Linked DNA regions of Macaca mulatta. The main gene of each other region encodes a partner of the protein of the gene in region 7 in a complex. Links are inferred from orthologs where the notes say so. Each region holds a gene or a part of one and is shown on either strand. Other genes may lie near its edges. The genes, in order: BRD8, POLR2E, UXT, PFDN6, ASDURF, ANP32E and RUVBL2.

What was found.
Region 1: RUVBL2 (region 7) and BRD8 share a complex: the UniProt entries of both Homo sapiens proteins name them as parts of the nuA4-related complex. The link is inferred for Macaca mulatta from reciprocal best matches to the Homo sapiens genes RUVBL2 and BRD8.
Region 2: RUVBL2 (region 7) and POLR2E share a complex: the UniProt entries of both Homo sapiens proteins name them as parts of the PAQosome complex. The link is inferred for Macaca mulatta from reciprocal best matches to the Homo sapiens genes RUVBL2 and POLR2E.
Region 3: RUVBL2 (region 7) and UXT share a complex: the UniProt entries of both Homo sapiens proteins name them as parts of the PAQosome complex. The link is inferred for Macaca mulatta from reciprocal best matches to the Homo sapiens genes RUVBL2 and UXT.
Region 4: RUVBL2 (region 7) and PFDN6 share a complex: the UniProt entries of both Homo sapiens proteins name them as parts of the PAQosome complex. The link is inferred for Macaca mulatta from reciprocal best matches to the Homo sapiens genes RUVBL2 and PFDN6.
Region 5: RUVBL2 (region 7) and ASDURF share a complex: the UniProt entries of both Homo sapiens proteins name them as parts of the PAQosome complex. The link is inferred for Macaca mulatta from reciprocal best matches to the Homo sapiens genes RUVBL2 and ASDURF.
Region 6: RUVBL2 (region 7) and ANP32E share a complex: the UniProt entries of both Homo sapiens proteins name them as parts of the SWR1-like complex. The link is inferred for Macaca mulatta from reciprocal best matches to the Homo sapiens genes RUVBL2 and ANP32E.

Annotation. Positions count from the first base shown.
Region 1 is NC_133411.1:147,018,802-147,022,301, reverse strand, and holds part of BRD8 (bromodomain-containing protein 8), read left to right. Parts: coding exon 1-312; intron 313-612; coding exon 613-706; intron 707-892; coding exon 893-939; intron 940-1,678; coding exon 1,679-1,893; intron 1,894-2,946; coding exon 2,947-3,039; intron 3,040-3,228; coding exon 3,229-3,297; intron 3,298-3,500. UniProt on the Homo sapiens protein: May act as a coactivator during transcriptional activation by hormone-activated nuclear receptors (NR). Isoform 2 stimulates transcriptional activation by AR/DHTR, ESR1/NR3A1, RXRA/NR2B1 and THRB/ERBA2.
Region 2 is NC_133424.1:1,752,873-1,756,823, reverse strand, and holds the start of POLR2E (DNA-directed RNA polymerases I, II, and III subunit RPABC1), read left to right. Parts: upstream 1-1,151; 5' UTR 1,152-1,196; coding exon 1,197-1,253; intron 1,254-2,454; coding exon 2,455-2,629; intron 2,630-3,951. UniProt on the Homo sapiens protein: DNA-dependent RNA polymerase catalyzes the transcription of DNA into RNA using the four ribonucleoside triphosphates as substrates.
Region 3 is NC_133426.1:47,680,317-47,684,386, reverse strand, and holds the start of UXT (protein UXT), read left to right. Parts: upstream 1-1,270; 5' UTR 1,271-1,314; coding exon of another isoform or gene 1,315-1,526; coding exon 1,527-1,624; exon of another isoform or gene 1,625-1,636; intron 1,637-1,670; exon of another isoform or gene 1,671-2,054; intron 2,055-2,584; coding exon 2,585-2,666; intron 2,667-2,808; coding exon 2,809-2,876; intron 2,877-3,158; coding exon 3,159-3,266; intron 3,267-3,471; exon of another isoform or gene 3,472-3,638; intron 3,639-4,070. Other genes in the region: uncharacterized protein LOC144338585, read right to left, coding at 1,315-1,528. UniProt on the Homo sapiens protein: Involved in gene transcription regulation. Acts in concert with the corepressor URI1 to regulate androgen receptor AR-mediated transcription. Together with URI1, associates with chromatin to the NKX3-1 promoter region.
Region 4 is NC_133409.1:148,999,055-149,002,133, reverse strand, and holds PFDN6 (prefoldin subunit 6), read left to right. Parts: upstream 1-1,280; 5' UTR 1,281-1,310; exon of another isoform or gene 1,311-1,523; 5' UTR 1,524-1,538; coding exon 1,539-1,602; intron 1,603-1,829; coding exon 1,830-1,900; intron 1,901-1,981; coding exon 1,982-2,106; intron 2,107-2,366; coding exon 2,367-2,496; 3' UTR 2,497-2,579; downstream 2,580-3,079. Other genes in the region: WDR46 (WD repeat-containing protein 46), read right to left, coding at 37-149, 293-373, 477-686, 784-861. UniProt on the Homo sapiens protein: Binds specifically to cytosolic chaperonin (c-CPN) and transfers target proteins to it. Binds to nascent polypeptide chain and promotes folding in an environment in which there are many competing pathways for nonnative proteins.
Region 5 is NC_133417.1:94,654,492-94,657,977, forward strand, and holds the end of ASDURF (ASDURF protein), read left to right. Parts: intron 1-1,136; coding exon 1,137-1,212; intron 1,213-1,763; coding exon 1,764-1,834; 3' UTR 1,835-1,855; downstream 1,856-3,486. Other genes in the region: ASNSD1 (asparagine synthetase domain-containing protein 1), read left to right, coding at 1,856-3,319.
Region 6 is NC_133406.1:116,901,952-116,906,095, forward strand, and holds the start of ANP32E (acidic leucine-rich nuclear phosphoprotein 32 family member E), read left to right. Parts: upstream 1-1,344; 5' UTR 1,345-1,680; coding exon 1,681-1,734; intron 1,735-2,068; exon of another isoform or gene 2,069-2,411; intron 2,412-2,628; exon of another isoform or gene 2,629-2,909; intron 2,910-4,144. UniProt on the Homo sapiens protein: Histone chaperone that specifically mediates the genome-wide removal of histone H2A.Z/H2AZ1 from the nucleosome: removes H2A.Z/H2AZ1 from its normal sites of deposition, especially from enhancer and insulator regions.
Region 7 is NC_133424.1:61,470,578-61,473,380, forward strand, and holds the end of RUVBL2 (ruvB-like 2), read left to right. Parts: intron 1-863; coding exon 864-983; coding exon of another isoform or gene 984-1,002; intron 1,003-1,374; coding exon of another isoform or gene 1,375-1,400; coding exon 1,401-1,530; intron 1,531-1,952; coding exon 1,953-2,067; intron 2,068-2,195; coding exon 2,196-2,221; 3' UTR 2,222-2,303; downstream 2,304-2,803. Other genes in the region: LHB (lutropin subunit beta), read right to left, coding at 2,444-2,686. UniProt on the Homo sapiens protein: Possesses single-stranded DNA-stimulated ATPase and ATP-dependent DNA helicase (5' to 3') activity; hexamerization is thought to be critical for ATP hydrolysis and adjacent subunits in the ring-like structure contribute to the ATPase activity.

The DNA.
Region 1 (3,500 bases), on a different chromosome or scaffold from region 7:
CCTGCACCAGAAATGACAGTCAAGCAAGAGAGACTGGACTTTGAGGAAACTGAAAACAAGGGAATACATGAACTGGTGGACATCAGGGAGCCCAGTGCAGAGATCAAGGTGGAACCTGCAGAACCAGAATCAGTCATTTCAGGGGCTGAAATAGTAGCTGGAGTTGTTCCAGCCACAAGTATGGAGCCACCAGAACTCAGGAGTCAGGACTTAGATGAGGAACCGGGAAGTACTGCAACTGGAGAGATTGTTGAAGCAGATGTTGCCATTGGGAAAGGCGATGAGACTCCACTTACAAATGTGAAGACAGAGGTACTTAATAAAGATCAGGGGCTGGGGAGATGGAGGGTTATACCTTAAGTAAGAAGTGATAGCTTAGGTTTTTTGGTTTTCCAGTTGCATTCCTGAGTTCTGACATGTTTGATGGTCCAAAGCCCATAGGCTGTGATTAGTGTTATATATACTTATTCCTGTTAAGGTGACCATTGGAGTCACATTACATGAATAGGACTTAGAATTTCTTCTATGGTCTCATTATCATTGAAGAATAAAGTTGTGTGAGCTATAGTGATTTACCAGTACTTAGGGTGTTTTTTCTTTTCTGGTTTTCAGGCATCCCCTGAAAGCATGTTGTCTCCATCACATGGCTCAAATCCCATTGAAGATCCTTTAGAAGCAGAGACTCAGCACAAGTTCGAAATGTCAGGTAAATAAAGTCCTCTTTAACTAACTTGAAATCATTTGCTTTGGCTTCTGAGGGATTGTGGGTTGTGGGCAAGTAGAGGAGGTAGAACAGGTCAGCATGGAAAGGAGAGCTGCAGGGGATTATGGTCCATAGGAAGGGGAAGGCTAAGGTGGAAAAATCTTCAGGTAGTCTTTCTCTCCTCTGCAGACTCATTGAAAGAAGAATCAGGGACTATTTTTGGAAGCCAGATAAAGGTATTTCAGACTTTTCTTTATTCCTCTTGCCATGTGATTAGATTTCCCTATAGCACTACTTTTTAATGAATTTCAGTAAAGTCGCATTTTTATTCTCTGATAAGAGACTGGTATGGAGTTGCGTGGGGAAAAGCTGCAGTAGACAGGCATAATGGGAGTACTGTAGCAACAGGTGCCTCCCATATGAAACAGCTTGTGAATATCACAGTCCTTAAGAAGCCTTGATACACTTAGAGTGATTTGGAGTGAATAAGGATACCAGAACTAAGGAGAACATACAGGAATCCAGTTTATTAATTAGACTATCCAAAGAAAATCATCCAAAGTTTTCTTTTTAGAATTATTAAAGCAGTAGTAACAGAGACTTAAAGAATGCGATGTGAGCTTGCTCCATCAGATGAGACACAAAATAAAAATTATTTTTGATAACTTTGTATCCAGGGTCAGAGTTACTCTTGAACAAGGGGAAAGAAGGAACGCCTCTTAGCTTAGTCTTAAGTAAGTAGCTTTTTTTTTCTTTCTTTTTAAAAGATCCTGGGTATTATTCTTTGTCCAGGTTCTAAATTACTTAAGTCAGTGTCTTTAAGTAGATGGTAGTATAAGTGATAGACAGCTAAGTCAGGAAACAGCGTGAGGTCATTTCTAGAACTAATTCTAACCCAAAAGACAGAGCATGTTTAATGATGCTTTGCTGGATAGCTTTGCTTGCATTTATTGACTGGAGCATACTGTGTCTAAGGATGCCCCAGGTGAGGATGAGGAGGAAGATGGTGTCAGTGAAGCGGCCAGCCTAGAGGAGCCTAAGGAAGAGGATCAAGGAGAAGGTTATTTGTCAGAAATGGATAATGAACCTCCTGTGAGCGAGAGTGATGATGGCTTCAGCATACACAATGCTACACTGCAGTCACACACGCTGGCAGACTCCATCCCCAGCAGCCCTGCTTCTTCACAGTTGTGAGTATCTGAGATTCTTCCTTTGAGGCTAAGGCAGTGAAGGTGAGAAGGAGAGGATCTTTTCTTCCCCTCCCCTCCCCTCCCCTCCCCTCCCCTCCCCTCCCCTCCCCTCCCCTCCCCTCCCCTCCCCTCCACTCCCCTCCCCTCCCCTCCCCTCCTCTCTTCTCTCCTTCTTTCTTTCTTTCCTTCCTTCCTTTGTTGTTCTCACTCACCCATGCTGGAGGGCAGTGGCGCGATCTCAGCTCACTGCAACCTCCACTTCTCAGGCCCAAGCAATCCTTTCACCTCAGCCTCCTTAGTAGCTGGGACTACTGGCCTGCACCACCACACCCTACTAATTAAAAAAATTTTTTTTAGTAGAGACCAAGTTTTGCCATTTTACCCAGGCTGTTCTCAAACTCCTGAGCTCAACAGTTGCCTCGGCCTCCCAAAGTGCTGAGATTACAGGCATGAGCCACCATACGTGGTCTTTTTCTTTATTTTTAAATTTTTGTTTTTAAAAGATGTTCTTTTAAGAGACAGAATCTCCCTATGTGGTCCAGTCTGGTCTTGAACTCCTGACCTCAAGCAGTCTTCTTGCCTTGACATCCCAAAGCACTAGAATTAGAGGCATGAGCCACAATGCCTGGCCTGATCTTTTCTTTAGTGTTTCCCTTTTTTGGCCTGGAATAAACAGTTGACAAAAATTATTAGGGCTGGGCATGGTGGCTCACACCTGTAATCCCAACACTTTAGGAGGCTAAGGCAGGAGGATCGCTGGAACCCAGGACTTCGAGACCAGCCTGGGCAACACAGTGAGACCCTATCTCTACAAAAAAATTAAAAAATTAGCTGGGCATGGTGGTATGCACCTACAGTCCCAGCTACTTGGGAGGCTGAGGTGAGAGGATTGAGTCTGGGAGGTTGAGGGTGCAGTGAACATGATCACGCCACTGCACTCCAGCCTGGGGGACAGAGTGAGACCCTGTCTCTAAAAAAAAGAGATAATTTTATATATATATATATTTTTTTTTTTAACTTGTGCCTAGTGAAATTGCTGTATCTCTGTTTCAGCTCTGTCTGTAGCGAGGATCAGGAAGCTATTCAGGCACAGAAAATTTGGAAGAAAGCCATCATGCTTGTATGGAGAGCTGCAGCTAATCATAGGTGAGTGGGCTTTACCAGTCAGTAGGTTCATTTTCTCTTACTCTTCATTGTTGGTGACTGGAAAAAAGTCTGAGTAGGCTTCTGTGGAACTGCTGGTATTGGTTCTTACTATCTTCAGCTACTTAGAGTAAGTTCTCTCCCTGTTCTTCTGGAGAATGTCAGTAATTGCACCTTATTCCTTTTGGACAGGTATGCCAATGTCTTCCTGCAGCCTGTTACAGATGACATAGCACCTGGCTACCACAGCATTGTGCAGAGGTGAGCCATGATCCACTCAGCATGGTAACTTGCCTGAATTATAAGTTGTCCAGTCTTAGTGAAAGTTTTGCTTTAGATAGAAAGTTTAAAGCAAGTAAATTTATGGTTTTGCTATAAGGGGCACTAAGTACTAAACTGATGATTCCAGTGGCTGGATCACCACTGATAGTCTAAAAGAATAAATCCTCACCGGGAGTGGTGGC
Region 2 (3,951 bases), about 60 Mb from region 7:
TGACCTCATGATCCACCCACCTTGGCCTCCCAAAGTGCTGGGATTACAGGCATGAGCCACTGCGCCTGTCCTATTTATTTATTTATTTATTGAGACGGAGTCTCGCTCTGCGGCCCAGGCTGGAGTGCAGTGGCCGGATCTCGGCTCACTGCAAGCTCCGCCTCCCGGGTTCACGCCATTCTCCTGCGTCAGCCTCCCGAGTAGCTGAGACTACGGGCACCTGGCCCAGCTAATTTTTTGTATTTTTAGTAGAGATGGGGTTTCACCGTGTTAGCCAGGATGGTCTCGATCTCCTGATCTCGTGATCTGCCCACCTCAGCCTCCCAAAGTGCTCGGATTACAGGCATGAGCCACTGCGCCCAGTAACGTTATTTTACTAAATCCTGTCTCTGAATGCAAGGGATACCTGGCCTGTTTTTATTCACCATCACTGTAGGTTGCTGAGTAAATGCTGAATTAATGAATGCATCACTGAGTCAGTGACTGATTGCCTTCACACAGCGAGTGCTGGGCTGGGATCCTCCGTGAATCTGGGGAGGTGAGGTTTGCAAAGACAGGACGGATCTGGGGTGGGGAGATACCCAGGCTAGGCTGGCACTCAGGGGAGAGGACAGAGGTGAAGGGACTTAAAAAGCACCTAGAGATATGCCTAGCTCTACCTAAGACTCTCAGTTAACCGCCTAAAGTAGGGACACTTTTTGCCATTGCACAGGTAGGGAAACTGAGGCCCAAGGGCATTAACCCTGACCTGGCCTGGAGCCAACAGAGGAAACCCTGTACAGTTTGATGCACAAATATTTAAAGAGTTCCCACTAGGCTCCCCGACCGTCCCTAGGAGCCGAGCTGCCCCTTGACCCATTCCAGGCCTCAGTTTCCCCGCCCACACTTCGCCCCCGCCTCATGGGATTCTAAACTGTCGCCGCAACGTGGGAGTTGAACGGAAACTACAACTCCCAAGAGGCCGTGCAGCCAAAGACACACGAGAACTACGGAGGGAGAGTCTCGCGCAGCAAACTGCCGTTCTCGCAAGGCTCGGGCTGCCCTTGGCGCTGCCGATCCCGGAAGTTGCTGCATTCAGGCGTTCGCCGACGACAGCCCATCGCGGGGCGGGGTTACGTGGAGGGGGCCTGATTGGGAGTCGGCGCAGGCGCAGTCCGCGCGGGTTCTCGCAGGCAAAACGGGTGCGAGTGGCGGCGATGGACGACGAGGAGGAGACGTACCGGCTCTGGAAAATCCGCAAGACCATCATGCAGGTGAGCCGCGCGTGGTGTTGGGGGCGGGGGCGCGAGCAGCAGGTGCAGGGGCCCGAGGCGAGGTCGAGCTCGGCGTCTCCTCGTACTCCCGTCGCAGCAGCAGCGACGGAGGGCCCGGCCGACACGGGAGGCCCCGAGGCCGCCGGGGATCCCAGGCGCTGGGCCCGACCTGAGCCGGCAGCGGGGAAGGGAGGGGGTTTCGAGACGTCTGGGTGCGGGGCTTAGCGGTGGGCGGGCGGCTTGGGCTGGTGCGGCGCACATGGCGGCGAGAGGAGGAAGGTGCGAATGGGGACGGGGGGCGCCCCCAGACCCTGCCCCTCTCTGTGATTCAGCGTCGCCATTTGTCCTTGCGTCCTGAACCCCAGGGCGTCTCAGCATCCGAGGCTGGCGGAGTTGGTGGTTGGGAAGCAGCAGGCGAGCTGGGGCTTTCGATGGGGACGTGGAGCCCGGAACCCGTGCCTCGGGGTCTGAGACAGATGGAGGCCACTGGGCCGACTCCGGTTTGGAAACTGGGCAAAGGTCTGAGGGCCTGCGGTTCAGGGTCCTCCCTCAGCCGTTGGGGCCGTTTGGGAGCTTTTGTTTTGTCTTGCTTCCCCACCCCCTATGCCCTTGTCTTTAGCGAAGCCCCCCGCAGCCTGATTCTCCTTCCTCCGGGCCGCAAACATTGTCAGCCTGAAGTCACATTTGTTTCGGTCCCTGTCTTTTTTTTTTTTTTTTTTTTTTTTTTTTTTTTAAGAGACAAGCTCTCACTCTGTCGCCCAGGCTGCAGCGCAGTGGTGCAGTCATAGCTCACTGCATCCTTGAACTCCTGGCCTCAAGCAGCCCTCCTGCCTCGGCCTCCCTGAGCTCTGGGGTCGTGGACGTGACCCCCCACGCCCCGTCTTTGTCCCTGTCTTTAGGGTAGCTCTGCAAAGTGGTTTGGAGGGCTTTGCCCCCTGCCAGGTTCCTGTGAGGCTGGATAGACGGACGGTCTTGGTCAAGGCTGGACACCTCTGCGAGCCTCTCGGGATCACGCTGGTCCCATCCTGTGGTGTGGGGCTGTGGGGGCCAGGATGGCTGTCATGGGGCACACAGCGAGTGTTCATTCCGTTTGCTGTTCACCTCTGTCCTCTGCAGCAGCCGCAGGTCTGACTTCTGGGTCACGAGCTCTGGCCGCCTTCCTGTCTCTGCCCTGGGGTCAGCTGGTTCTTTCTCTCTGCAGCTGTGCCACGACCGTGGCTACCTAGTGACCCAGGACGAGCTTGACCAGACACTGGAGGAGTTCAAAGCCCAATTTGGAGACAAGCCGAGTGAGGGGCGGCCGCGGCGCACTGACCTCACGGTGCTGGTGGCCCACAACGATGACCCCACCGACCAGATGTTTGTGTTCTTTCCAGGTGAGCAGCGGGTCCCGGGGGAGTTCTGGTGGAGCCGCCCGAGCACCTGCTGAGGAGCCGGCCGCTAGCACCCACCCCCTCCCGCCTCGTGCCCAGCGTTTGATCCTCTGCCCAATCTGGGAGGAAAACTTCCCCTCCTCTTCCTTGCTGTGGGCGATGCCGTGGACCTCTGACCCCTCTCATGCGCAGCCTCTTTCTGGTTTCCCTCTCATCGGTCCCCTTTCTTCCTGCCAACCAGGAGAGTCCCATGGACCTCCCTACTCACCCGCAGCCCCTCATGACCTTTGCCCTACCTGTGTTCCTTGGCTCCCCCATCCTGGCCGTTGGGTGCACTTCCAGCTTCTTGGCCTGGCCCAGGAGGCCCCGTGTGGGTCAGCGCAGCCTCCTTGTGAGCTGTGGCCCCTGTCTGCCCCAGCCCATTCCTCTGCACCCCATGCCGCCTCTGCCTTGTCAGCGTCCGCTACTCATCCCTCGAGGTTGTGCTCAGGCCGCTTTTCCCGGGACCCCTGGGACCCTCGGTTTCAGCACCTGGACCGTGGAAGTCTCCCCACCTGTCTGCCCCCCCCCAGGATGGCTCTAGCGCCCTCAGTGGTTGGGGGACTACCAGCGCCTAGGGACACAGCCGCGTGCCCAGAATTAATCAGTGGGGTGGACGGAGCGTGTCTGCCAACCGGGTGATGCTACTGCTTTTTTTTTTTTGAAAGTCTCATTCTGTCACCCAGGTGGTGCAGTGGTGCCATTTCGGCTCGCTGCAGCCTCCACCTCCTGAGTTCAAAATTCTCCTGCCTCAGCTTCCTGAGTAGCTGAGACTGCAGGCACCCACCACCATACCTGGCTATTTTTTTTTTTTTTTGTATTTTTGGTCGAGATGGGGTTTCACCATGTTGGCCAGGCTGCTTTCAAACTCCTGACTTCAGGTGATCTGCCTGCCTCGGCCTCCCAAAGTGCTGGGATTACAGGCGTGAGCCACTGCGCCCGGTCTTCTTTTTTTTTTGAGGCTGAGTCTCTCTCTCTGTCACCCAGGCTGGAGTGCAGTGGCGCAATCTCGGCTCACTGCAACCTCCACCTCCTGGGTTGAAGCAATCCTCCCACCTCAGCCTCCCACAAAAAGCTAGGTTTACAGGCATACACCATCTCACCTGGCTACTTTTACTTTTTTTAGTAGTGTTTATTTGGTTTTTTGAGACGGAATCTCGCTCTGTCGCCCAGGTTAGAGTGCAATGGCACAATCTTGGCTCACTGCACGCTCCTTCTCCCGGGTTCACACCATTCTCCTGCCTTAGTCTCCAGAGTAGCTGGGACTACAGGTGCCCGCCACCACG
Region 3 (4,070 bases), on a different chromosome or scaffold from region 7:
ATATGAAACACAAATTATCTGGGAAGACTTCCTTGGTAGGGGTGGGTGCTCTAAGCTCTATAGATGGAAATAGCATTTGGAGATTCATCCCATGGTCTGGATTCTTCTCCAGGCAAAGGCCCATTCTTGCTGGGTTATAAGTTCTTGTTTGAAAATCTAACCTGAATTTAAGGCATTTCAGTGATAGACTGGATTAAGAAAATGTGGCACATATACACCATGGAATACTATGCAGCCATAAAAAAGGATGAGTTCGTGTCCTTTGTAGGGACATGGATGCAGCTGGAAACCATCATTTTCAGCAAACTATCACAAGAACAGAAAACCAAACACTGCATGTTCTCACTCATAGGTGGGAACCGAACAATGAGATCACTTGGACACAGGAAGGGTAACATCACACATCGGGGCCTATTGTGGGGAGGGGGGAGGGGGGAGGGATATCATTAGGAGATATACCTAATGAGTTAATGGGTGCAGCACACCAACATGGCACATGTATACATATGTAACAAACCTGCACGTTGTGTGCATGTACCCTGGAACTTAAAGTATAATTTTTTTAAAAAAAATCTAAACTGAAAAACAAATTCACTCAGTCACTCTAGTGCATAAGAATAAATTCACAAAAACCTTACCATTTAAATAAAAACATGGGAACTATGCCTAACTACAAGATGGCCAATATTCTGCAGAGGACTTCAGCCACCCTCTCCATTTGACTATCAAACGAGGTGATTAGATATAGTGCGTTGTCAATTTCCGCTTGAGCCTCAGTTATAGGTTGCAGGTACAGAGCTGGAGTTATCAAAGATGAATTTTAGAAAATCTGTCTCTGTTTAAAACCTTTTAAGTGCTCATACTCAGTCCCATTGCCAGGAGTGAAACCCAAACCTCCCGTATGACAAATCAATATCCAAGCCGACAGATCACACGGGATCTTCCTTATAGACCAGAACCATAGTCAATTCTTAGGTCCTTTTAAATATTAAACTCTTCACTTCCTCTCTCTACCTCTACCTGTGCGTCGCGCCTAACTTAGAACCGCCAAATCCCATTAAATCCCACCCTCACCAGCGACGCACGGTCTCCATAGGCTCCACGCGCCGCTTTTGCAGTCCCCCATTGGCCGGTTTATTGCCAGATGGCCTGCTCCCACGCCCTAGTCATCTTTGATCTCCTCGGATTCCGTGAAGCCCCGCCCTTCTCTTCTCCCCTTTGGCCCGTCTTCCCCAGCTGGCTATTTGGTTGGCCAGCGCGCTTGCCACTTACGTCATTCACCCGCGCCACCCGGAAGCCGCGGTTCCTACCAACCGTTTTTATTGCTGGCGGCCCTGAGGTAAAGGCCGCGCTTGGGTGTCCCTGGGTGGCCGGGTCCCCGAGTTGGGAGGGGCGGAAGGCTGAGCCCCCAGCTTGAGCCGGACAAGTCGATTCCCAGCGTTGAGAGGGTAGAGATGAACTGTGTGTGAGGCCAAACTGGAGCGGTCAACGTGGTCTTCCCCCTCCCCACTCCCCAGGAGCCCATCATGGCGACGCCCCCTAAGCGGCGGGCGGTGGAGGCCACGGGGGAGAAAGTACTGCGCTACGAGACCTTCATCAGTGACGTGCTGCAGCGGGACTTGCGGTGAGTGACAGTGCAGAGGGCGGGGCGTCTGGAACATTCCACGTGGTGGGTGGGGCGTTCAGAGTTAGGGCCAACCCTTTGGATTGGTGGGCGAGGCGTTCAGAGTCCGGCCCCGCGCTCCTTGGAGCGTGAAGTGGTGATGATATCCGGGGTGCAGTTTGGCTGGGACGTGGCGTTCATAGCAGGGGGCGTGTCAGCGCATGCGCGGCCTCCGATGTTTGACGGATTAGGGCTTGTTTTCTGGAGCCACAGTTCTCAGGTTCGAATCCTGGCTCGGCCATTCTTCATCCTTGTGAATACGTCATACCTCGCCTTTCTGTGCCCTATAAACTTCTCTGTGAAATGGGGAGTTTTCTGGAACCTTCCCCATGCAGTGGTTTTGAGTTTTTCATATGTCCCATCTTTGTAAATAATTTAGTAGCATGGATGCCTGAAACATAGTAGAGGTTCAATAAGTATGAAGAAATATTATTGCAATTTTTGTTAATCTAAGCAAGAAGTAAGGTGTTCAGAACTAGGACTATGAGCATCCTAAAAGGGATGGAGGATTTTTCTAGGGTGAGGATGGGACATTATGATTGGAGTTCAGTATTGGGAGTGTAGTAATAGTAATAATAGCTAACATGTAGAGAGTTTACCATTTGGTAGGCATTATTCTAGATGCTTTGAGTAAATGCTCATTTAATCCTAATGACTCTACAAGGTAATACTGTCATCTGCATTTTATAAATGGGGAAACCAAGTCCCAAACAGGTTCCTTACTTGCCAAAGCCACACATCTATAAAGGACAGAGCCCAGATCCAAACCCAGGCAGTCTGACCCAGAGCCCAAAATTAACTTGTACACTAAAAAGCCTTTTCAGCGTATGGTGACGTGAGAGTCTCAGAGGGTCATGATATGAGGTATACTAGGAGGAATGGGGCTGCCTATTGGTCACCATTGTACTTTCATCCCATCAGAAAGGTGCTGGACCATCGAGACAAGGTATATGAGCAGCTGGCCAAATACCTTCAACTGAGAAATGTCATTGAGCGACTCCAGGTAAAGACTATGGGGTTGGGTATCATTTTTTTGGTGTGTGTGGGTAAGGGAGGGAAATGGGAAGAGAGACTCCAGAGCCAAACCTGTCACCTGACCTAAGAGTTCACCACTGACCCCTACCTCTTTTTCCCTGGCCCCACAGGAAGCTAAGCACTCGGAGTTATATATGCAGGTGGATTTGGGCTGTAACTTCTTCGTTGACACAGTGGTGTGAGTGTCTACCCGCCCCTCTGAGCCCACAGGGTTCAGCTTACCCCTTCCCTCATGCAACATATATTTTTTTGAGTATCTTCTATGTACCAGGCACTATACGAGGTTTATTATCCCAGTAGGATATAAGCTAGGCGCTGGGGATGTGACAGTGAATAAAATAGGACAAAATCCCTGCCTTCCCAGAGCCTCAATTTGGGGAAGGGTGGGGAGCAAAACATACACTCTGCTAAACAGTGATAAGGACTTCCCCCGCACTTCCTCTAACCTCTCTTTCCTCAGCCCAGATACTTCACGCATCTATGTGGCCCTGGGATATGGTTTTTTCCTGGAGTTGACACTGGCAGAAGCTCTCAAGTTCATTGATCGTAAGAGCTCTCTCCTCACAGAGTAAGTCCATTCCATGAGGATAGTGTGTAAAAATACCACCATTTCCAACACTCTTCTCACTTTCCCCATGGCTGCCTAGAATGATACTTAAGGACTCATCTCCCCTCCTCCTCAGAGCTGGGGCTGAAGAAATGTGGTTGCAAAGCCCATGTATAGCACATAATAAGCATTCAAAAAATGATCTTTGTATCGTTCATTCATGCAGACATTTATTGGGAATCTTCTGTATGCCAGGCACTGTGCTTAGCAGTGGGAATGCAGCAGTGAACAAGACAGAAGAGTTCCTTGAAGGCTTAAAATCTAGAAGGACTATACTGTTATACATAAATACAATTATGACCAGATCCATGAGGTCTCAGCCTGTTAGAGTTGGTAACAAGAAAACTAGTTACCTGTGATTTCACTTCCTGCTAATTTTACTATTCATTCACTGTGTTCCTGCCACACTGACCTTCACATGCTTCTTTCAGCACCCCAAGAATGATCCCACCCCAGGGCAATTGCCGTAGCTGTTCTCTCTGCCTGCACTGCCCTTTTCCCCAGTACCCACATGGCTTCCTTTCTCCTCACTCATCTCGCTTAAATGTCGCTTCCTCGATGAGGCCCTCTGTAACCTAACTTTAAAATCACAGCCCCTGGCATGCTTGATTCCCCTCCGTCTACTTTTTTTCCCTAACACTTATCACCCCCTAATATTTACTGTGTAATTTCTTGCTTTCTCATATTGTCTCCTCCAATTAGAATGTAAGTTTTACAAAGGGGGAGCTTTGGTTTATATCCCGGGTGACTAGAGTAGTACAAACA
Region 4 (3,079 bases), on a different chromosome or scaffold from region 7:
GGCAAGGATTGGGGGTCCAGATTAGGGCCCACTCACCCCGGTTCCTCAGCAAGCAGCAGCTCAGAACGAGCAGCTTTGATACTTGTTTCCTCTTCCTCAGCTTCAGCCACCTCAAGTCGGCTTCGAGTTTTGGCTTTAGAACGTGGTAGCTATAACATTGTTGGTGGGGAGGAGTGGCAGAAGAACCATAGGATAAGTGGGGTCACAGGAGAGCTACCTAGCCCAGCCTCCATTCAACTCACCCAGACACTCCCTGCCTCCAACACTTCCCAACTCTCCGGCTGGACCTCACCTTTCGGGATTTGTCAATACGACAGAACTTCTGGACCACCTCCACAGGGACGGGGGCGGGGCCTGGGAATGGATCTTGGGCCTAGGGGAAAGGAGAACGCAGTTAGTAGACAGCCTTGGGTTGACCCCAACCCTTTCAAAGCACAAGGCGGCCTGCCTCGCCACCCATTAGGTTCCACGTTCACCCCGGACAAGCTCCGCTGGGACTCCGGGTTCTTCCACTCTCGGGGTTTCTTCGGGACCTGAGGCTGCTTAGAGATCCGAGACTTCTTTAATATGTGAGCATTTTTTGGTCTCTGAGGACGGAGCTCCCGATTCTTCTTGTTACAAGGAGGCCCTGGAGAGGCTCCGTCTGTGGTCGGAACAGTCTCTTCCTCCCAGTATCGCCGCGGTTTCTACAAGCAGATCAGGAACTCTGATACTCCGCACCCACGCCCCGCCCCCCCGACCCCGCAGCAAAAAACTTCCTTTCCCACCCAGGGAGGCCGATACCTTTCTCTTGGTCTGAAGTTTGTCTTTCTTGGGCGGGACATCCCTGCCCGGCTTGGGGGCTGTCTCCATCTCGCCCATCCGAACGGCGATCCACGTGCAAAACTCCTCTCAGCTGCCCCACAGTCGGCTTGAAAACTCCCGGAAGCCCTCTATCCTTCATCCAATCAGTAGCGTACCAGGTCTGAAGCTCTCTAGGCGCCATCTTGAGTGAGGGCACACTCTCCTTAGAGGGGCGGAAGAGCTCTTGGCACCTTATCGGGAGCGGCAGCTTATGCAAGAGTGACTTACAAAAGAAAGGCAGGCCCGGGACCAGGGGCTAAGTAGCGGTGCGGTTTCTTTTTCCGGGTTAGTTTCCCCATCTTGCCTAAAAATATCCGAGTCCAGTCTTTGTAGCAGAACTCCATTCGCTAAACATGTCAGAACTACACTTCCCATCAAGGGTCAGAAAGAAACTTCCGGCGCAGTCTTTTCCCGGCATTCCTCGTTTACTTCCGGGTTTATTACTACTGAAAGCAGAACGTGAATAGGTTAGGATTTCGGTTGAGAGGCTTACGGTCTTGCGTTTCGCCCACCATATCCTGGGGACGGGGTGGAGTCGATACCCAGGACCGGGGGGAGGTGGCGGTGCCCCTCAGGGCTGCCTCTCAAGAGTGCTATCATTTCCGCAGGCGAGATCAGAAAAGTGAGCTCAGGTACCTTCCAGAGAGTGAGACGCAGCGCCCTTGTCTCGCTCCCCGTAGGCTTTCATCCCCGCCATGGCGGAGCTGATCCAGAAGAAGCTGCAGGGAGAAGTGGAGAAATATCAACAGCTACAGAAGGGTAAGGGAGCAGGGTCGGTATGGCCTCGCCCAATGCACTCACAACCCAAAGCCATTACCGAGATAAGGTTTGTTGCCCCATCTGGGCCCTTGCGTGCAGAGACTTTCCCGCTTCAGTACTCTTCCCTATTCACTGACCCGCTGCCCCCATCTTTTTCTGCTTCCTCAGATCCATATCCACCTGACTAGGATTGATGTTTCTAATCTTGCCTTTCCTCTTATCCCCAGACTTGAGTAAATCCATGTCGGGGAGGCAGAAACTTGAAGCACAACTAACAGAAAATAATATCGTGAAAGAGGTGAGGGACTGGGATTTGTGGGGCGAGGAGGGACCTGTACTAGCCATGGTTCTGATCACGTATGTCCCATCCCTCCATCAGGAACTGGCCCTGCTGGATGGGTCCAACGTGGTCTTTAAACTTCTGGGTCCGGTGCTAGTCAAACAGGAGCTGGGGGAGGCTCGGGCCACAGTAGGGAAGAGGCTGGACTATATCACAGCTGAAATGTGAGTCTTTATTCCACCACTGTGTGCTGCACCCTGTGATGCAGTGAACCATTGGAGTAGAGGTGTTGAACCATTGCAGAACAGCTCTCCATAGTGGCCCCTAGTCCTCCAGTTCCTCCAACCCCTTCCTTCCCTTTTAACCCCCCTTCTCCCTTCCCTAATCTCAAGTTTTCCACCTATCTCTTTCTTGCGTTTAGCACCCTCCTTAGTAAGTCCTACTAATTTCTCCCTTTCTACTTGTCTCCCTTGTCTCTCTTTAGTAAGCGATATGAATCCCAGCTCCGGGATCTTGAGCGGCAGTCAGAGCAACAGAGGGAGACCCTTGCTCAGCTGCAGCAGGAGTTCCAGCGGGCCCAGGCGGCAAAGGCAGGGGCTCCTGGCAAGGCCTGACCCCTTGGTGGGGGGAGGGGAGGGGAGGGAATGAGGCAGCTCTAGCATCTATACTGTAGCTAATAAAATGTAAAAACACCTGGCTCCGTTTCCTGACCAGGCGCTTCTGTCATATCCCCACAGTCCCTTCCACCTTCACACACACCACCTGTATTACCCCCTCAGGTTCAAACTCTTGCACTTGGAACTTCTTTGTGGCACGATGTTCTTTCTTTCTTGAAAGTGAAATCCTAAATGTCCTCAAACCTACTTCTTGCCTGTATATACAACCCTTAACTTTCCCTCATCTTGGTTGGCATGATTATTTTGGAAGGGCATTTACAACATAGCGTATTACTAGGAATGTCAGTTCAATTGAAAAAGAATTCACAGTTCTCTAACCTGAGGCCCCAGGATGAAATGTGGTTACCCTCTTTGCCAGCAGCCCTGGCATCTCTATTGGTACTTTTCAGCCTCTGTCTTCCTAGAATTTGCTTGAATGTAGCTTAAACTGACTTAAAATCCCAGCACGTAATGCTTTGTAGTGTATAAGTCCTCCCAAGTTTATATGTTGTCCATAAAGTTGTTCTGCCATTTCCTTGTC
Region 5 (3,486 bases), on a different chromosome or scaffold from region 7:
AGTGTCAAATTACATTTTAACATTCAGGAACAAATGAGTTTGAGCTCTTAAAAGTATTTTAAAGATTATGTAATAACTGGTTAGATATTTCTGATGTTGTCACTTATGGAATATTAGAAGTTGAAGCACATAAAAAAATTAGCTGGGTGCCTGCCTGTACTTCCAGCTACTCGGGAGGCCGAGGCACAAGAATCTCTTGAACCTGGGAGGCAGAGGTTGCAGTGAACTGAGCGCATCACTGCACTCCAGCCTAGGCGACAGAGCAGAACTCCATCTCAAAAAAAAAAAAAAAAAAAAAGTTGAGGCAGAATTAATACAGACTTTCTCTAGAGGGCAAATTGAGGGCAAATCTCAACAACTCAAACTATAACACTTTGACCCAGCAGTTCCATTTATAGTAGTTGATACTTAGGAGAGAATCATGGGAGTTCACGAAGATTTAGTTACAAAGATATTCATCACAACGTTGATTTACAATAGCAAAGAGTTGGTAGCACTTTAAATGTTTAGTATTTGAAGCGAGCAAATAAACTGTAATATATTATACCTGTATAGCAGTAGGTATAATTTGGTCGCCGTAGCTTGCTTTGCCATTTTTGTGTTCTTGTAAAATAACACTTACTGATAAGAAAAAGTGTTCTCCGGTGAAACCCCGTCTCTACTAAAAATACAAAAAATTAGCCGGGCGCGGTTGTGGGCGCCTGTAGTCCCAGCTACTCGGGAGGCTGAGGCAGGAGAATGGCGTGAACCCGGGAGGCGGAGCTTGCAGTGAGCCGAGATCGCGCCACTGCACTCCAGCCTGGGCGACAGAGCAAGACTCCGTCTCAAAAAAAAAAAAAAAGAAAAAGTGTTCTCAATATATTGCTCATTGATAAAAGCATAAATCTGCAGGTACAGTAAGAACATTTTTTGTTAAAATGGTATATGGAGAGAAAATAGTTTCATTTCAGTAGTAGCACTTTCTGGTAGTTGGGCAATGGATGACTTTTATTTGTGTTTTTGCTTATCTGTGTTTGCTAAAGTATAGTACTAAATATATATTACTGAAGTTCAAGAATTAGTGATAATAGGGTTAAGGATTTTAACATCTACTTTTTAGATCAAAATTTGATTTTAGCCTAAATTATGTTTTCCAGAAAGTATATAGGCAGCAACAGAACAGCAATATATTCTTTCTTGCAGACCGAACAGAAATGCTATCTGAGAGCAAAAGTAAGTTTTTTCTTTTTTGTGGCTTTTGGGGGGTGCCTAAATTATACTCATCTGAATGTTAAAATATATATCAAAAGATTAATGCAGCAGTTTGGTTTTCTTCAAGTTAGCCTTCCAAAGATGAGTCAACAGTTTAAATAAATATATATATATATATATATCATAATATGTGTTAGCAATAGTTATTAACATGTGCTTTAGAGTTTCAAACAGGCCTAAGTATGACAAACAATTACCACTTTCTACCTTTGTGACTTTGGGTGAAATACTTTAAACCTCCAAGGTATTGTGGGATCTAAATAAGATGCTGTGTAAAAAGTGCTTAGCCAAGTGCTTGGGCCAAAATGAGCACCCGGCAAAACAGAAGCTATTTTTGTAAAAGATAAACATTCTTTGTTAGTAGCCTGTTGTTAATTATCATTGGCACTGGCACAGTGTGTGTGTTTATATGGTTTGATTTTGGTAAACAGCTTGTTTTGCCCTCTGAATTGCTAGGTAAAAGTCCAAGAATTTTTATGTTATTTAATATTTATTCTCCTTCCCTGCAACAGGTATATTGGATGAACTGAAAAAAGAATACCAAGAAATAGAAAACTTAGAGAAGACCAAAATCAAGAAATAGTCAACCTAATTTCACGTAACAATGTGTGGCATTTGTTGTTCTGTAAACTTTTCTGCTGAGCATTTCAGTCAAGATTTAAAAGAGGACTTACTATATAATCTTAAACAGCGGGGACCCAATAGTAGTAAACAATTGTTCAAGTCTGATGTTAACTACCAGTGTTTATTTTCTGGTCACGTCCTACACTTGAGGGGTGTTTTGACTACCCAGCCTGTGGAAGATGAAAGAGGCAATGTGTTTCTGTGGAATGGAGAAATTTTTAGTGGAATAAAGGTTGAAGCTGAAGAGAATGATACTCAAATTTTGTTTAATTATCTTTCCTCCTGTAAGAATGAATCTGAGATTTTGTCACTCTTCTCAGAAGTGCAAGGTCCCTGGTCATTTATATATTATCAAGCATCTAGTCATTATTTATGGTTTGGTAGGGATTTTTTTGGTCGCCGTAGCTTGCTTTGGCATTTTAGTAATTTGGGCAAGAGTTTCTGCCTCTCTTCAGTTGGCACCAAAACATCTGGATTGGCAAATCAGTGGCAAGAAGTTCCAGCATCTGGACTTTTCCGAATTGATCTTAAGTCTACTGCCATTTCCAGATGCATTATTTTACAACTGTATCCTTGGAAATATATTTCTAGGGAGAATATTATTGAAGAAAATGTTAATAGCCTGAGTCAAATTTCAGCAGACTTACCAGCATTTGTATCCGTGGTAGCAAATGAAGCCAAACTGTATCTTGAAAAACCTGTTGTTCCTTTAAATATGATGTTGCCACAAGCTGCATTGGAGACTCATTGCAGTAATATTTCCAATGTGCCACCTACAAGAGAGACACTTCAGGTCTTTCTTACTGATGTACACATAAAGGAAGTAATTCAGCAGTTCATTGATGTCTTGAGTGTAGCAGTCAAGAAACGTGTCTTGTGTTTACCTAGGGGTGAAAACCTGACAGCAAATGAAGTTTCGAAAATGTGTGATAGGAAAGCAAATGTTGCAATCCTGTTTTCTGGGGGCATTGATTCCATGGTTATTGCAACCCTTGCTGACCGTCATATTCCTTTAGATGAACCAATTGATCTTCTTAATGTAGCTTTCATAGCTGAAGAAAAGACCATGCCAACTAGCTTTAACAAAGAAAGGAATAAACAGAAAAATAAATGTGAAATATCTTCTGAAGAATTCTCTAAAGATGATGCTGCTGCTGATGACGACAGTCCTGATAAATATGTCAGTGTACCAGATAGAATCACAGGAAGGGCGGGACTAAAGGAACTAAAAGCTGTTAGCCCTTCCCGAATTTGGAATTTTGTTGAAATTAATGTTTCTATGGAAGAACTGCAGAAATTAAGAAGGACTCGAATATGTCACTTAATTCAGCCGTTGGATACAGTTTTGGATGATAGCATTGGCTGTGCAGTCTGGTTTGCTTCTAGAGGAATTGGTTGGTTAGTGGCCCAAGATGGAGTGAAATCCTATCAGAGCAGTGCAAAGGTATGACACTGTTTCTTCTGATAATTTCTGAGACCTATTTTTGACCCTTAAAGCTTGTAGCATTTTGATTGTAAGAATATAGCATATTTTAGTTGCATTTAAACTACAACACAACATATGTGACTTCTTTAGAATTGGATATATTTTACTATTTTCTGTCTTTATCT
Region 6 (4,144 bases), on a different chromosome or scaffold from region 7:
TATCTCAGCCTCTGGAGTAGCTGGGATTACAGGCGCCCGCCACCACACCCGGCTAGTATTTTGTACTTTTTGTAGAGACGAGGTTTCACCATATTAGTCAGGCTGGTCTCGAACTCCTGACCTCAGGTGATCCCACCGCCTTGGCCTTCCAAAGTGCTGGGATTACAGGTGTGAGCCACCACACCCGGCTAAAAGATAATTATTATCCCACTCTTTCATATCCCATCCCACATAGACAAACTGGTTTTTTTTTTTTTTTTTTTTCCTTCTTCTGTCCTGAACACTAAATTTTAATCCCCTGAGGGGGTGCACTGTTCCTGGAGGTACTGTAATACCAGGTGGATGCGTTAAGTGAACAAGAAAGCTCCTATTGCGTCTTCCTGCTCCCCAAATCCATTTAATATATTGGACTCGGATAGAAAATATATCAGATATTAAACTGTTAAGAACAGATCCTACACTTGATCTTAGCCAAAAGGCAGAGAAGAAGCGATAAACACTTTTAAAAGCACACTTTACCTACAGATTTCCATGGAAACCAACCAAAGGGAAATTAGAGAGGCATTGCTGTGCCATTTCTATGCTAATTAATGTCTGATTTTCATTAGGCCAGCGTTGTTTTTCCTCCAAGGTCTTAGTGTTTATTACAGCAAAAATTAACTCAGTAACAATTCCTCCAGGATAGTTTTATTTAAATATTATTAACTTACATACTTCACCCAACTGCTTTCAAAATTGTTGTCTTTTATAGTGTTAAACTACCATCTTTAAAATCTTGGCTCTGGCTCTGCATCACGGAAGGTCAGCCTCTGTGAAAAGCCTGACCCCAGCAGGACAATGCCACCAAGGCATCTTTTTAATGTGATGCGCACGTTGCTGTACACCTTGGCTGCAAAGCAGAGGCTGTGTTTTTAAAACGGCCAAGAGCCAGTGCATGCCGTGTGGTGAATTATCAGTATCGCAAGTTGGGCACGGAAGGATGCTTTCTCCCTTTTTAACACTAACAACAGAATAAAAAACCAAAAACTAAAAAACAAATCCAACAGACAACAAAACCGTCCGAGTGCCCAGGGAAAGCGCGCCAACTACATAAAGAAAAGTAGGGGGGGAACTGGGATTCAAAATCATTACTCCCGGACGTACACCCTCCTGGACCTATCAAAATTAACTGCGCCCTTGATCGTAGCCAATAGATACGGAGTTTCTGGTCCAGGTCCTCCCTGAAGACTGATAGACATTTACCTAGCCCAATGGAATAATGTGACGCTAAAGAATCAACCAATACGTTTGGGAGGTGGGTGGAGTGTAGGCCAGGGGGTTGGCGGTGCCGTGTCATGGAGGCTCAGTCTCTGAGCAGCCATTGAAGGGGAAGGAACTGCGGGTGTGTGTGTGTGTGCGTGTGTATGTGTGTGTGTATGTGTGTGCGCGCGTGCGTGCGTGTGAGTGCGCGCGCTAGTGTGTGGACAAGGAGGTGGGGGCAGCTGAGTTAGAGTCCCAACTCTTGGACTCCATTTGCTATTCTCTTCTTTCTCCCCCACACCTATCTGGTGGTAGTGGGCGTTTATATTTGCGTTCCTTTTCATTCATTTCTAAATCTCTTAAAAATTTTGGGTTGGGGGTATTGGGAAAGGCAGGAAAGGGAAAAGAAGGAGAGTAGTAGCTGAAGAGCAAGAGGAGGACATGGAGATGAAGAAGAAGATTAACCTGGAGTTAAGGAACAGAGCCCCGGAGGAGGTGAGATGACTCAGCCCCCACCCCTTCCCCATCAGTCGTGTATTCTGAGGATCGGATTTCTGGTGGTCCTGGGTGGGTGTGCGGGGATGGAGTAATAAGTTAGCCCCCGCCCCCCCGGTTTAGGGTTGGGGAAATGTTTAATTTTAAGTTTTAAATCATTAAAATCTTCTACTTAAAATGGCGAAGGGTTGAAGTTTCTAGGGGCGTTTTTGTGTGTGCATGGGGGCTTAGCTCCTTTCGGCTTTCATCGAGTCGGGCGTCCTGGCCTCGTGGGGGCGGGAAGCGGGCTGGTGGGGGCGCTCTGCCGCTTCGCTCCCGGCGCTCCTCCTCCTGAGGGCCAGCGGCGTGGGACGCGACCCCCCAGTCCCACTCGGCCCCTGCCGCAGCCATCGGCGCCTGAGAAGTTAGTCCAACTTTTCTGCAGTGCGGCCAACTCATCTTTTTGGGGGGTGGGCTCCCCCGGCCTCAAGGCCCTGGGCATCCGACGTCGCGACGGGCGCGGACTGGGGTCGCTTTCAAGGTCCGCGCACTGTCTGCTCCGGCGGCGCCCACTCCTCCGGGAAGCCGCGCGCGCTGCCCTCCGCCCTCCGCCCTCCGCCCTCCGCCCGGCGGAATCTGGGTCAGCCGCGGGTTCTCTGACCGCGGGCGAGTTTGGGGACTCGTCGCAGTGACCGGAGGTGGGGAGGGGACGGGAGGCGTAATCCGCTTCTTCCCCCGCCGTGTAAAGATATGTGGCACGTCGTGTGGCCGCAACTCTTGAATTTGATCCCTGGAGACGGTTTCACAGAACTCAACATAAGGGACGTAGTAGTTTCGTGCTTTAAAGATGGGTTCGCCGAAACTAAATGATGCGCTCTCACTGCTGTTGCCTTAGTTAAAGAGACGGCGTTGGGAGGGGCCACATGAGGCGGGGTCGCGGTCAACTTTTCGGGGGTCGGGCAGGAGGCGTTTCCGCCTCCTTTTCGCGGTTGCCTCCTCGGCCTCACCTACCCAGGGCGAAGGCGCGAGGGCAACGCGGGTTGGGAGGCGACCCCTTTTTTCCTTGGGGAGTCCCCGCCCGGTGTGGGGTTTCCCGTCAGTCGGAGCGGCAGGTCGCGAGAGCAGGGCTGGTGGCCAGCGGGGAGCCTCGCAGAGGAAAGCATCTGTCTTGCTGAAAGAAGCCCTAGAATTGGAATGTAAGGGAGTTGTCTGTAGCTGGATCGACCGATCGATAGAAGGATATAACTGGGGTGGTGTCTGTGCAGACCCGCATAGAGGATGAGCAGGGTCTGTCTAGGCTTTCGCGTACGGCGTGTGGAGTGGCAACTAAGACTTTTTTTTTTTTTTTTTAATAAATTTTTTTTTTTTTTGAGACGGAGTCTCGCTCTGTCACCCAGGCTGGAGTGCAGTGGCCGGATCTCAGCTCACTGCAAGCTCCGCCTCCCGGGTTCACGCCATTCTCCTGCCTCAGCCTCCCGAGTAGCTGGGACTATAGGCGCCCGCCACCTCGCCCGGCTAGTTTTTTTTTGTATTTTTTAGTAGAGACGGGGTTTCACCGTGTTAGCCAGGATGGTCTCGATCTCCTGACCTCGTGATCCGCCCGTCTCAGCCTCCCAAAGTGCTGGGATTACAGGCTTGAGCCACCGCGCCCGGCCTTTTTTTTTTTTTTAAGGTGCCTGTTTTCTGAAATTGGCAGGGGCCAGGGAGGGGAAACAGTTGCTTGCTATCAGGGTCATTCCGGAGAGATCTTGAAGTTTCTAGAACTTATTCTTAGGGGCTTCAGGGAAAAAACAAAATCAAACTTGAAAAGCTGTCTCTCACAAGCACACGTTTAGAATACTTTTTGGTGGCTTGGGTTGGAAAATTGAATCCCGCCCCCGCCTCCCCCGCCAGGATTCTTTGACTTAGTGATTGTAGTAATTTCTTTGCCAGTTTTGGGAGTGCAGGACGTTGCCTTTTTTCAGCTTCTTCCTCTGTGTTGTAATAACGGTCTCTTACATTTGTGTAGACAGTTTACAAAGCACTTTTCCCGTTTGTTATTTACTTTCCTCCTTACACACTTGTAAAGTGGATTGTGTTATTCTAGAATCCAAATTAGCAGACGGAGTCTCAGGACAGTGAAATGATTTACGCAAGTGCAGGAATTGGTTTTCTGACACCAAATCTAGTAGCCCCCACTCCTCAACTAAATGGGGAGTGTGAAGACGAACCAATTCACAGCCCTGCTGCAAACCAAGTGTGACTCTAGGCAAGCCATTCTTGTTCTCTGGGCCATAGCTTCCACTTCTCCAAAACGGAGCTCAAGATGCTCTCTCTGGCAACAGAAATAATTATGTCAAAGTCGTATTCAAATAGAGAAGGTGGCATTCCTTGTTGCCAAATTTTAGCCCTCGGATACCTCAAACAGGTTTTCACATCGGGTATAGAGAAC
Region 7 (2,803 bases):
CAGAGGCCGGGCGCGGTGGCTGAAGCCTGTAATCCCAGCACTTTGGGAGGCCGAGATGGGCGGATCACGAGGTCGGGAGATCGAGACCATCCTGGCTAATACGGTGAAACCCCGTCTCTACTAAAAAAATACAAAAACTAGCCGGGCGAGGTGGTGGGCGCCTGTAGTCCCAGCTACTCGGGAGGCTGAGGCAGGAGAATGGCGTGAACCCGGGAGGCGGAGCTTGCAGTGAGCTGAGATCCGGCCACTGCACTCCAGCCTGGGCGACAGAGCGAGACTCCGTCTCAAAAAAAAAAAAAAAAAAAAAAAATAACAGAAACACACAAATGAAAACACACATAGACCCAGATTATATATATATTGATTGACGAAAATACTGTGAGTAAAGGCTCAAGAGAGCCTAACCCTGTATTCCACTAGGAGCAGTGGCTCAGGATCGGCTAATTGGAGTGTTCACGGTGACTCTCTAGAACCTCACTGCGGTGAATAAGGGGAACTGACTGTATACCCTGGTACCAGCCCTGGGCGGGCCCCGCTGCAACAGGGAACAAGACAGGTTCTGTCCCCTCCTTTGTGAAGCTTCATGTCGAGCACGGGAGTGGGACCTTGATCCAGTAATCCTCGAGGCAGAGAGCTAGCTTAAAGCAGCCCAGCTCTGCGGAAAGGTGTCCTTGGGGGACTGACAGTTGTGGAAGGCTGCGTCATCAGGGGGTGATGTCATCATGTGACAGGAGACACGAGCTAAAGGTTAAGTGGTGTTGGGCCCACTGAGTGGGTGGTGATGGGAGGTGGGAGTGTTTCCAGCAAAGGGAATGAAAAGGGAACATCCCCCTGACAGCCCCCTCTTTCTGCCTCTTCCTCAGAATCCGGGGCACCAGCTACCAGAGCCCCCACGGCATCCCCATAGACCTGCTGGACCGGCTGCTTATCGTCTCCACCACCCCCTACAGCGAGAAAGACACGAAGCAGATCCTCCGCATCCGGTGCGGGCAGGACCAGACCGTGCGCCTGGGAGGCGGGGCTGGGGTCTACCCTGTTTGACAAATGCCGACACTGAGGTCTGGCGGACTGGCATGGTGGCTGGGCCTGCAAGAGAGAGGGCTGATCTGGCACCCAGACAGTGGCCGCCGATCCGGGAGCAGGAGCCATGGTGGGAAAGGGAGGCGAGGTACCCGTGACCGGTGTGGGGGCCAGCGCCCTGGGCGTGGTCAGGAGGCCTAGGTTTTAGATCCAGCCCAGCCCCTGTCTCCGTGGCTCTTCTAGCCTCAGCATTCTATGGTTCTAAGATGCAGGCGCCACATATTCCCAGTGGGGAAGGACCAGAGGGTTGCTGTGGCCACTTCTGCTGCAGTCAGAGGCTGGGCCCTGGCTGAGCCACCCCCGTCCCCCACTGCTTGCAGGTGCGAGGAGGAAGATGTGGAGATGAGTGAGGACGCCTACACGGTGCTGACCCGCATCGGGCTGGAGACGTCACTGCGCTACGCCATCCAGCTCATCACGGCTGCAAGCCTGGTGTGCCGGAAACGCAAGGTCAGCCTGCCGAATTAGCCAGCAGGGCCAGATGGCGGCAGTGAGTGACGCACTACTTCAGGGGCTGCCAGGGTTCCAATTTCAACCTAGGATGTACATTTTCAGAGGCAGGGAATTTTCATCCCTCAAGTTGTCTTCTGTATCTCCCCGCCTGGCCTACAGTAGGTGCTCAGTAAATCTCTGTTGACTGTAAGTAGATGCTGTTAGGTCCACCTTACAGATAAAGAAACTGAGGAATGAAGAGGCTGGGCCCACAACCAGGAGATGGCCAGGCAGGTTTTGAACCCAGGCGATCTGGCCAGAATGCCCTCCCCTCACATGCCACCCTCTGCTGCCTAGAGCATGGAGGTGACATATGCTGGGGTCTGTGCCGTGAGCCTCACGGAGAGGGGCCCAACTCAGGACCCGCCCTCCCCCTCCAGGGTACAGAAGTGCAGGTGGATGACATCAAGCGGGTCTACTCACTCTTCCTGGACGAGTCCCGCTCCACGCAGTACATGAAGGAGTACCAGGACGCCTTCCTCTTCAATGAACTCAGTAAGAATCCCTACCCTGCACCTGCACTGCCAGAGCCAACCTCGGGGAGGAAGAGGGAGCTCGGCCTAGAAGGCTCAGGCCCTGCCCCCTGGGCCACACTGACCATGTGGCCTTCCTTCTCCCCACAGAAGGTGAGACCATGGACACCTCCTGAGCTGGATGTCATCCCCTGTCCCCACCCTGTTTTCTACCAGAGTTCTGACACTGTGACTTTGTATAAAATGGTTTGAAGCTGCACCCACTCTGTGTGTGGTTGCCCTGAGCCCACAGAAAGACACCTCCAGAGTGCGCACTGAGAAGCCTTTATTGCGGGAGGAACGGGGTGTCTGCTGGCTCCAGGAGTCAGGATGGACTTGGAGGGCTGGGGGGAGGGTCTTTAGAGGAAGAGGAGGCCTGGGAGTTGGGGGTGGTCACAAGTCAAAGGGTGGTCCTTGGGACCCCCGCAGTCAGAGGTGCTGCGGTGGCAGGGTCCACAACGACAGCTGAGAGCCACAGGGAAGGAGACCACGGGGTCCACGCCAGGCAGGCAGCCAGGGAGCTGGATGGAGTCGAAGCGCACCTCGCGGTAGGTGCACACCACCTGGGGCAGGGGCAGCAGGGCCGCCTGCAGCACCCGCATCTGGAGGATGTGTGGATAGGGGAGTGAGCATGTGCCTGGGGCCAGCGCCTCCGCTGACCTCCCAAGCTGCCTCCAAAGGTCCCAGACTCAGGAGTCCAGGAAGCCCTCTGTTCCCGC